Linked DNA regions of Coturnix japonica. The protein of the gene in region 1 interacts with the protein of each later gene in a pairwise test. Links are inferred from orthologs where the notes say so. Each region holds a gene or a part of one and is shown on either strand. Other genes may lie near its edges. The genes, in order: HSPB11 and IFT27.

The links.
Region 2: the proteins of HSPB11 (region 1) and IFT27 interact in binary tests that used the Homo sapiens proteins (3 or more experiments, as listed by UniProt). The two-hybrid records come from large-scale screens. The link is inferred for Coturnix japonica from reciprocal best matches to the Homo sapiens genes IFT25 and IFT27.

What each region holds. Positions count from the first base shown.
Region 1 is NC_029523.1:22,426,750-22,430,748, reverse strand, and holds HSPB11 (intraflagellar transport protein 25 homolog), read left to right. Parts: upstream 1-1,492; 5' UTR 1,493-1,526; intron 1,527-1,631; exon of another isoform or gene 1,632-1,688; intron 1,689-1,783; 5' UTR 1,784-1,787; coding exon 1,788-1,894; intron 1,895-2,098; coding exon 2,099-2,205; intron 2,206-2,560; coding exon 2,561-2,629; intron 2,630-2,787; coding exon 2,788-2,831; intron 2,832-3,118; coding exon 3,119-3,226; 3' UTR 3,227-3,369; downstream 3,370-3,999. Other genes in the region: LRRC42 (leucine-rich repeat-containing protein 42), read right to left, coding at 1,032-1,492. UniProt on the Homo sapiens protein: Component of the IFT complex B required for sonic hedgehog/SHH signaling.
Region 2 is NC_029516.1:47,142,879-47,147,224, forward strand, and holds the start of IFT27 (intraflagellar transport protein 27 homolog), read left to right. Parts: upstream 1-1,299; 5' UTR 1,300-1,411; coding exon 1,412-1,445; intron 1,446-2,450; exon of another isoform or gene 2,451-2,717; intron 2,718-2,809; exon of another isoform or gene 2,810-3,037; intron 3,038-4,346. UniProt on the Homo sapiens protein: Small GTPase-like component of the intraflagellar transport (IFT) complex B that promotes the exit of the BBSome complex from cilia via its interaction with ARL6. Not involved in entry of the BBSome complex into cilium. Prevents aggregation of GTP-free ARL6.

The DNA.
Region 1 (3,999 bases):
TGATTAAGACTTCGACTTGCAAGCATCGCTATATATAATTGGGCCCTATATTATATATAGGGGCTTATTTACAGACCATTGCTCGCTGGACTCCAACCAGAGCTGTGGCTGCACCCCAGGCAGCAGTTACACAGCGGGTTATTTTCTTTGGCTGTGTTGGTTCTCTGATCCGATTCACTCTGCAGCCACGCAAGCATCTGTGCCGGAACTATTCAGCAGGAGATTTAGAGATGGGAATGCGCTGTAATATCACCTACCTCCATCTCCCCTGTGTTTATGGCAAGACAATCCCTCAACTCACTAATATCTCCTGAATTTACCTCTTCGCCCCCATGGCAAAGCAATCCCTGAGGAGAACATTCTCAGCGGTGAAATTAGGGGTGCTTACTATAATCCCTGGAACCTTTTTGCCTATGTGAATAAGAGCATTTTCTCTGTGCTGGTGCCCATACTGAAGCACTCCACCACATCCCTCTGCCACGCAGCTCAGATGGGTGGAAGGCAGTTGGAATACAAGACAGTTCTTGATAGGTAATGCGAGTTTTACTATGAGTGGGCTCTTAGAAATGAGGCTCATAAAACATGTCTTAGCGTCTTACTTCCTGGATTTCAAAGATTTGACATTTAACCGAGCTTGTTTTAATGATAAAATATGCCAGAGGTAATTCCATTTCTGAATGGAGCTCATAAAAGGTACCTGTACTAAAAGAGGGAGTACCTTGAAGGGATAAAACAAGGTAATTGACCTCTGCTCAAACATTCCTGCTGTGCTTGGCACTGCAGATAAACGTGCCTGTCCTTTGAGTTTAAACTGAATAAAGCAGCCCTTTCTGAATGTATAGATGGAAGGCAGACTCATTATATCGCTGCCCAAGACTTCAGCAGGAGCAAAGCTTTAAAAGCAGGCCCAGTTTTCAGCTTGGTGAGGCACTCTAGTAGGAAAAGAAACTGTGGATGTTTGAGATTGAGAGAAAACAAGAGAACCTGAAGCACAGCAGCACAGATGCTGATGTGTCACTGGGTGCTCCTACCTGTTCCGCAGACACAAGGAGCACAGCACCAAGCTGCCATACGCCTCGGTGAACTTCTGCAGGGCTCGCAGTCCCGTCACGGGTTCTGTGAATTTCTGCCTCGCTTCTGCGGCCGAAAAGAGCTTCTCTGCGATCTGCTCCGGGAAACCCACCAGCGAGTCGATGTGGTCAACGTTGTCGGAGATGTAGGCCAGCACCAGGCTGAACAGGGACTTGGCCGAGTAGCGCAGGTTGCCCTCCTTGGTGTAGGTGAAGATGAAGTGCTCGGTCCTCGGCCTCCTGGCCCTGTCGTCCTCCCCGTTCAGACGCAGCTCCACGGAGAACCCAGCGGGGAACAGGCGGACAGGCCGCGCTGTGCGGGCCCCGTTCTGGATGCCGCCCGCACCCGGGCTCACCACGCGCAGCTCCCCACGTTCACGCACGTAGATCGGCCCGGCAGCCGAGTGGAGCCAGTACGACATTCCCCACGTCCAGCACTGCGAAAAGAAGCCAGAGGTGGGTAAAGCTGCCGGGGGCGGGGGCTGGGGAAGGGGCCCGAGAGCGAGCAGGAGCCGGGCCGGGCTGCGGGGGGAGCTGAGCGGGATCCCGACCCCCCGTTACCTGCCCCGGGGCCGCCCCGACACGCCGTCACCCGGCCGGGCCGCTCCGCCCGCTCCCGCCGCCCATCGCGGGGCCGAGCCGGGGGCGGGCAGCGGGGGGCGGCGCCGTTCGGTTGCCGGCCTCCTGTTGGGTTCCGTCCTTTGCTTTCCCAGCTCCATGGTGAGGATGCGGGCCGCTGACTGGTGTCTGAGCGCGGCGGGAGCTGCCCTCGTCATGGCCACATCCAGCGACACGGAGCACCCGGCCCGGAACGTGGCGGACGGGTGAGGGCTGCGGGCCGGGATCGTGGGATGCTGCTCACAGGGCTCATAACCATGAGCTGAATCCGGCCCTGCAGCACAGCAGCCCCGCTGCACACGGCCGTTCGGTTACAGCACCCCACATAGAGCGGCTTTCCACTCTTTATTCTGTTTATTGGTCGTAAGCAATGAGCCGCAGCGGGTGCTTTTGTGCTGTTTTCTCCACAGAAGTTCCGACACGTTCTGGACGACAACAGGGATGTTCCCGCAGGAGTTCATCATTGGATTTCCAAAGCGTGTGACCATCAGCAAAGTGGGCATCCAGTGCTACCTGGGTAAGGGCTCCCATAGCAGCACATGGCTCACGTTGTTTGGGGCACATATCTCTGCTTATATGTACACACTCACAGCACCGTCTTAGTTCTGAATAGTCACATTTAATACACATTAATGCATTAATACATCACAGAACCATTAAGGCTGGAGAAGACCTCTCAGTTTCCCCCTCCATGACCCACTGCCCATGTCCCTCAGTGTCACATCCCCACGTCTCTGAAACACTTCCTATCCCCTACATTAGAGCAGGCGTTAATTATAAGGTACTTTGTAGATGAAACATGATGCAACAAACATAAAGATCCCGTAAACCTCAGCATTTATACTGATACTTTAAATGCATCTGTATTTTAGTGCGGAGCTTGAGGATTGAAAGAAGCGTATCTAAAGACCCAGTAGACTTTAAAGAGTGCGTTGAAAAAGGTAAAGCTCTGAGCATGAAGCGGTGGCACTTGGGCTACATTGCTGTTTGCAGACATAGAATGCTGCATGAGGGTTACAGGCCCTTCAACCTGGTGAATTTCTCCCAGCACTGCACCCTGTTCCTTATTATTTGCTGAAAACAAACCCATGTTTTCTAGATTTGCAGCACACGGAAGGACAGCTTCAAATGGAAGAATTTCCTGTGAGTATACACGGGATACACCGTCATGGGGTGGGATGTCTAAACTAACTGGGTGGAAGCTATGAGAAAGACACGATTATTGCCAAGCTGACATTAGATGTATTGCCCTTTGCTGCTGCTTCTCTGTTGATGATGGTGTGAAATGGCACCTCAAGTTACTAAAAGAACTGAACTTACCTCTCATTTGGAAACAAACATCTCTATCTTTGTCATGAGCTTCTGTAAGTAGTTTGATAGTTACGTTACTACCAAGAATGAGCTAACGTTATTTCTCCTTTTCTTTACAGCTTCCTGATTTTCAGGCCACTTATTTGCGATTCATCATCAAATCCGCCTTCGATCATTTTGTGTCGGTGCACAGGGTGATGGCAGAGGGCACAGCAGAAGACACTTAAGTCTGGCTTAAATTTGTACCTCTTCTTTTTGGTATTATATTTTCGTATCTCTATCATAAGAAATATTTATTACAAACTGTGTTTAGGTCAGACTTTGTTAATACATGAATTAAAGCTCAGTTTCCTGTGAGATGTTTCCCTTACACTCTGAGTAGAAAAGGTGTGAAATACTTAAATGAGAGGTATTACTTCTTACTGTCAAAGAAGCTCTTCAGAAGTTCTTATACTGGAAATTTGCTCATTAACTCAAAATAAACTGTTTAATAGGATGAATGTAAGCTACTAATGCTTGCAAATAACCAGAGGGGAACAGAAACCAAGCGAGAGCTGTGCTGCTCTGAGAGGTTTGTTTGTTTATTTGTTCGAGTAACGGCAGATCAATCCTTTGTTTCTAAAAATATTTTCTGAAATCAGGTCACAGCTGTCAGTGCTTTATGCTGTGACTGTCATAACAAATATTATAGAAACAAATGTCCAGAGATTGTGTCATTCAGAAGCCTTCTGAGGTGAGAGAAACTGAACGTTTAGGAACATGGTTTGTATGCGAGAGAGACAGAGAAACTTAATGATGTGAAATCAGTTGTTTTGCCTGAAATTGGCTCTTGCAAATGTCACCACCACGAAGGTTGAACCTGCACCGTATTCTTAAAGAATGTAGATGTTGGTGTCCAGTCATAACAGCTGACTGACAACAGAGCTGAACATCTCCAGACACATGAATGGTGAACCACGATACGGATGCTCTCTAAATGCACATGCGTTGTTCTCTTTCT
Region 2 (4,346 bases), on another chromosome or scaffold:
TTGACTTGGGTTTTCTTCAAGCAAGCAGGGTTTCTTTCCCCCTCCCTCTTCATGTATTCAAGATGAGAGAAGCTTCAGTGAGCACAGTTACCAGTACTGCAATTTATTCAGCAGCAACCCCTGTGGACTGCTAACAGCAGAATGCAATTCTGCTTGGATTATAAGGTGTAGATAAGTAATTCCATCCTTAATCTATCACTGTCAGTGCAGACAAGGGAAGGACTTTTACCTACGAGAAATGAAGCAGAGGAAAAAATATATATATAATGTGTGGGGCAAAAGGACAGCTGAAAAATAGCAAGGATACGAGTCCTTGCTGCATGCTATGTGCATGCAGAGCTAAGCAGGAAAAGGGGGAACAAGATAAAGTACCAGGATGCTCGAAGTAAAGAATGTGATAAAGGATATAGCCAGGTTCAAAGCAGAAATTCTCAATAGCAATGAGAATTCCACTTCTAGCATAATCTATGCCTTCTGGTAAAGGTCCCCAGTGTGAATTGGTAGAGGTGTTTTGAGACCTTGGTAAATGCTGATGGATTTTACTTTACATTTACATTACAGACGCGATCGATAAATCTCAAGTACATCATAATGAAGCCTCAAAGCCTTTGCATGCAAACCTGTCAGTAAACTGGGACAATATAACAAACAAGGATAACACAAGGGTTGCACAAATAGAATCACAGAACTGTAGGGGCTGGAAGGGAACTCTGGAGATCACCTAGTCCAACCCCCTGCTAAAAGCAGCTTCCATGGAGCACAATGAAGAATGGTGGGCAAACCAAGTCGCAAATAACACACTTGAAGCCTCACCCCACAGCCATGCATTTACACGGCCCTACACCCAGCCATACATGCGAGTGAAGGGCTCTTCTGCCCGGAAGATCCCATTGCTTGGAATGGAGATAGGTGTAGGACGGAAGCTTTTCTGCCTCGCTCACACTTGTCGTTTTGCTCCTTAGTGCTTCCAAACTCCTCTTCTGTAATCTTTTGCCCGCAGCTTTATTTTTTTTCTGCTCTTTTTCAAGTGAGTTAATTTTGGCTAGGTGGTACCGTCCCCTGAGCTCTATCCAATAACAAGTCGGTTCCTACATACGTAGTTAGTTGCTGGGCAGAAAACACTCCGCTTTATCACAGCGGCACCGCCCTCCGCCTCGCCTCAGCCACAAGAAGGGCGGGAGCCAGGATTTGAATGACAGGACGCTCGGAGGGCGGGCAAAGACACAGCAACCAATAGTAACTCCGGCTAGCCTTGACGAGCAGAGCTCGTAGCCAATCGGATTTAGCGTCCCGGAGGAAGGCGGGGCGCCCCGTTGCTAGGGTCGCGCTGTTGTTAGGGCCGCGGCAGAGCGTGGTGGCGGTCGCCTCAGCATTCCCGGCCCGGCGCATCCGCCTTCCCCGGGCCGGGGCGATGGTGAAGCTCTCCGCCAAGTGCCTGCTGGCAGGTGAGTCCGGCCTCCGCCGCCTCGCAGGCATGGACAAGACCCCTTAACGAGGTGGGAGTTCTGGGAGGGAGTTGGTGGCGGGTCGTGCGGCCTGGCAGATCGGCGGAGGTGACGGGAAAGGATTGGGCAGCACCCCGGGGGATGGGGCGGTGGTACCGCCTCCCCCGTTCGCGTGGGAGGGCGTGAAGTGCGGTGAGATCGGCTGGGGAAGGGGAGGGTCTGAAGCGAGTGGGTGGGGGAGGATGGAGGGGGAGGGCAAAGGGTGCCTGCTGCACGGAGCCTTCCTTCCCTCTAAGTGAGCTGGAGGTTATTCTGAGGGGGGGGAAAGTGAGGTGAAGACTCCGCTTTGTTCAGTCAGGATGGATTACGGAGGTGCTGAGAGTAAATTCAGCCGACTGTCAATGCTACAGGAAGGAAAGGCTTTTCATTGAGCGCATGGTATCAGCCACAAGCGCAGAACCAGAAAACCTTGGTGTGCTGACAACTCTCCAGTTAACTCTTTGCTTCGACTTTGTTTTCCAGAATTAATCCAGAATTAAATCTTTTCTTTTTCCTTGGAAGTAGCGAACTGTCGGCTCACACAAAGCCAAGTGCAAGCTTTGGCAAATGCAAAAGAGTGCTTTTCCTTGCTGTTACTGTTGACAGTTACCATGGACAGCATGACTACCTTACGCATCTTCAAGATTTGAGACTTGCACATCACTTCCCATTTGGTAGTTTCCAGATCCTGGTATAGGTTTTCTTTAATGTTACCAAAGGCTGATTCCATCACACTCCCGAACTCACACGGGTTTTCTTTGTATGACTCAGTTATGTTCTTAATCCCAACTGGGTTTGAAGCTGCCCTTTCAATTCTGCTCACAATGCAAACAACAGAAACGCTCTGTTCCATGTCATAGAAACAGATCCCTTTGTAGTGCTCTTAAGAACTAGGATAGTACCTGTATCTTGTTGAAAATAATGAATTAATGCGGCAGTCCAGGCAAAATAACTTCTTTCTTTCAGGAGAGAATGTAATAGATGTAAGAGGCGAGAAACCACAACAACCTGGAGAGAACAAGAGAATACAATTACATTGGTAGAAGCAAAAACATCTGAGATAGATCGAGAAATTCTTGTGTACCTAAGGAAATGATTACGAAGAATAGAACGGCTGACAGTACTGGGAGCTGCACCGTGGTCAAGGAGAACAGCAGAGGGGAAAGGACTTTTGTTAGCAGAACAGATGCTATTAACTTGACAATAGAAAGCGATCCCCGTGTTATCTCAAGGGTAATTTACAAACACAGAGGAAGATACTGTTTGAGTTTACTTTGGAGACACCATGAAAGGGTTTTCTTTGTAAAACACGTATTTGTCCATAGTAGGTCTTTCGGAGACACGCAATGGTTTCTGGCAGAATAACAGAAACATGGATGGAATAAATTCTGTGGGATGCAGTATTTGCAGACGAGACCAAACTAAATGGAAAGTGCAAGGAAACTTATTTTGAGGGAGGAGTGTAATGATATAATGGGCGAAGAGAATGGCAAAGAAGAAGAGGGGGGAAAAAAAAGCTGAGGCTGCCAAATAAAAGAAAAGGAACACGTTAGGTAAGAATTTGCACTCGATGTTGAAAGTAAAAGAAGCTTGCAGAGTTTGTAGCTGTGTATGCTTTTCTATCTCATTTTACAAAGACAGATCTAATTATCTATTGAAATACAGAATAGCTTCCACTCAGAACAGAGTGTTGTCTTCAGCACAAGCTTGAACTGATCAGGGAACAAACAGGCTGATTTACCAGATTTTCCTGTCTAAATATTATGAACCCAACTCAGCTCAAAGTAAGCAAGCATGCTAAAAATGTTTAAACAAGAACTGCTTTGGTTGGTACATCCAGTAGCAATTGTAACTATCCAAAATACTCTTCTTTGAAATATGATGTGAGGGGATAACTTACCAATCTCCTTCAAAACACCATCTAGGATATTTTAATAGGGCCAGAATGTACCCCTTTCTGAGGGTTTTTTTATTACCAGTATAACATAGGAAGTTTGTGTTCCCAGCTTGACTGTCATGAGTGTTCTTTGCAGGGTAAAGCTAGAACACTGAGATACTTAATTCCTGGTTTTTGTCCCTTTGAACTATCCAGGCTGTTGAAAGGATATGTGAAGAGAAGATAAGCTTCCTGAGAACATTAACGTGGCTCTGTTTTGCAGGGACTGTGATCTGTTTTGTGGAATGATTTGGGCTTAGGTGAATTCTGCAGTTCTCTGCTGTCACTTTAGGTCTTGCAGAATTTTCTAACAGTGGGCCAAAGAAGGGCAGAAATTTACCCAAAGTGTTATGCAAGTGACACCAGTAAACCTTTGTTCTAGAGGAGCAAAAATGAAAGCCCTTTAGTTTGCCTTCCATACAGGGATGAATCAGCAGGCTTCCTTTCCAGCCAAGTGACATTTGCTTCTGTTATGCCCAGGATGCAACTAATGAGCCACCAGCAGCATTGAGTCAGCAAGAGCTGCTCACTTAGCAGGGTCAGCAAGAAGAGTTCATCGAGGAATGTTACCAGATTAAGCAGCTTTGAAGCGTATGTGTATTTTAAGGAGAGAAAACAGCCAATGCACCTCAGTCTCCCTTATCATGTTGTCATATTCTTTGTGTCACCACACCTGGAAAACATGAGTTCTTAGGTAAAGGCTATAGGGTAGATTCCTAAACACAAATTCTAAAACAAACAGCAATTCAGCCTCAATCTGGGAACTCTTTATTATCATTCATAGAGTAAAAACCTGATCTCAGCATCAATATGCATAATAACAATATTGATTTCATCACATAGGTAGTACATTTCAGATTATTTTGTCACAGTCACCTTGCCTGCATTCAGAGTTGTAGTACTCAATGTCTTGTGGCATAAGACAG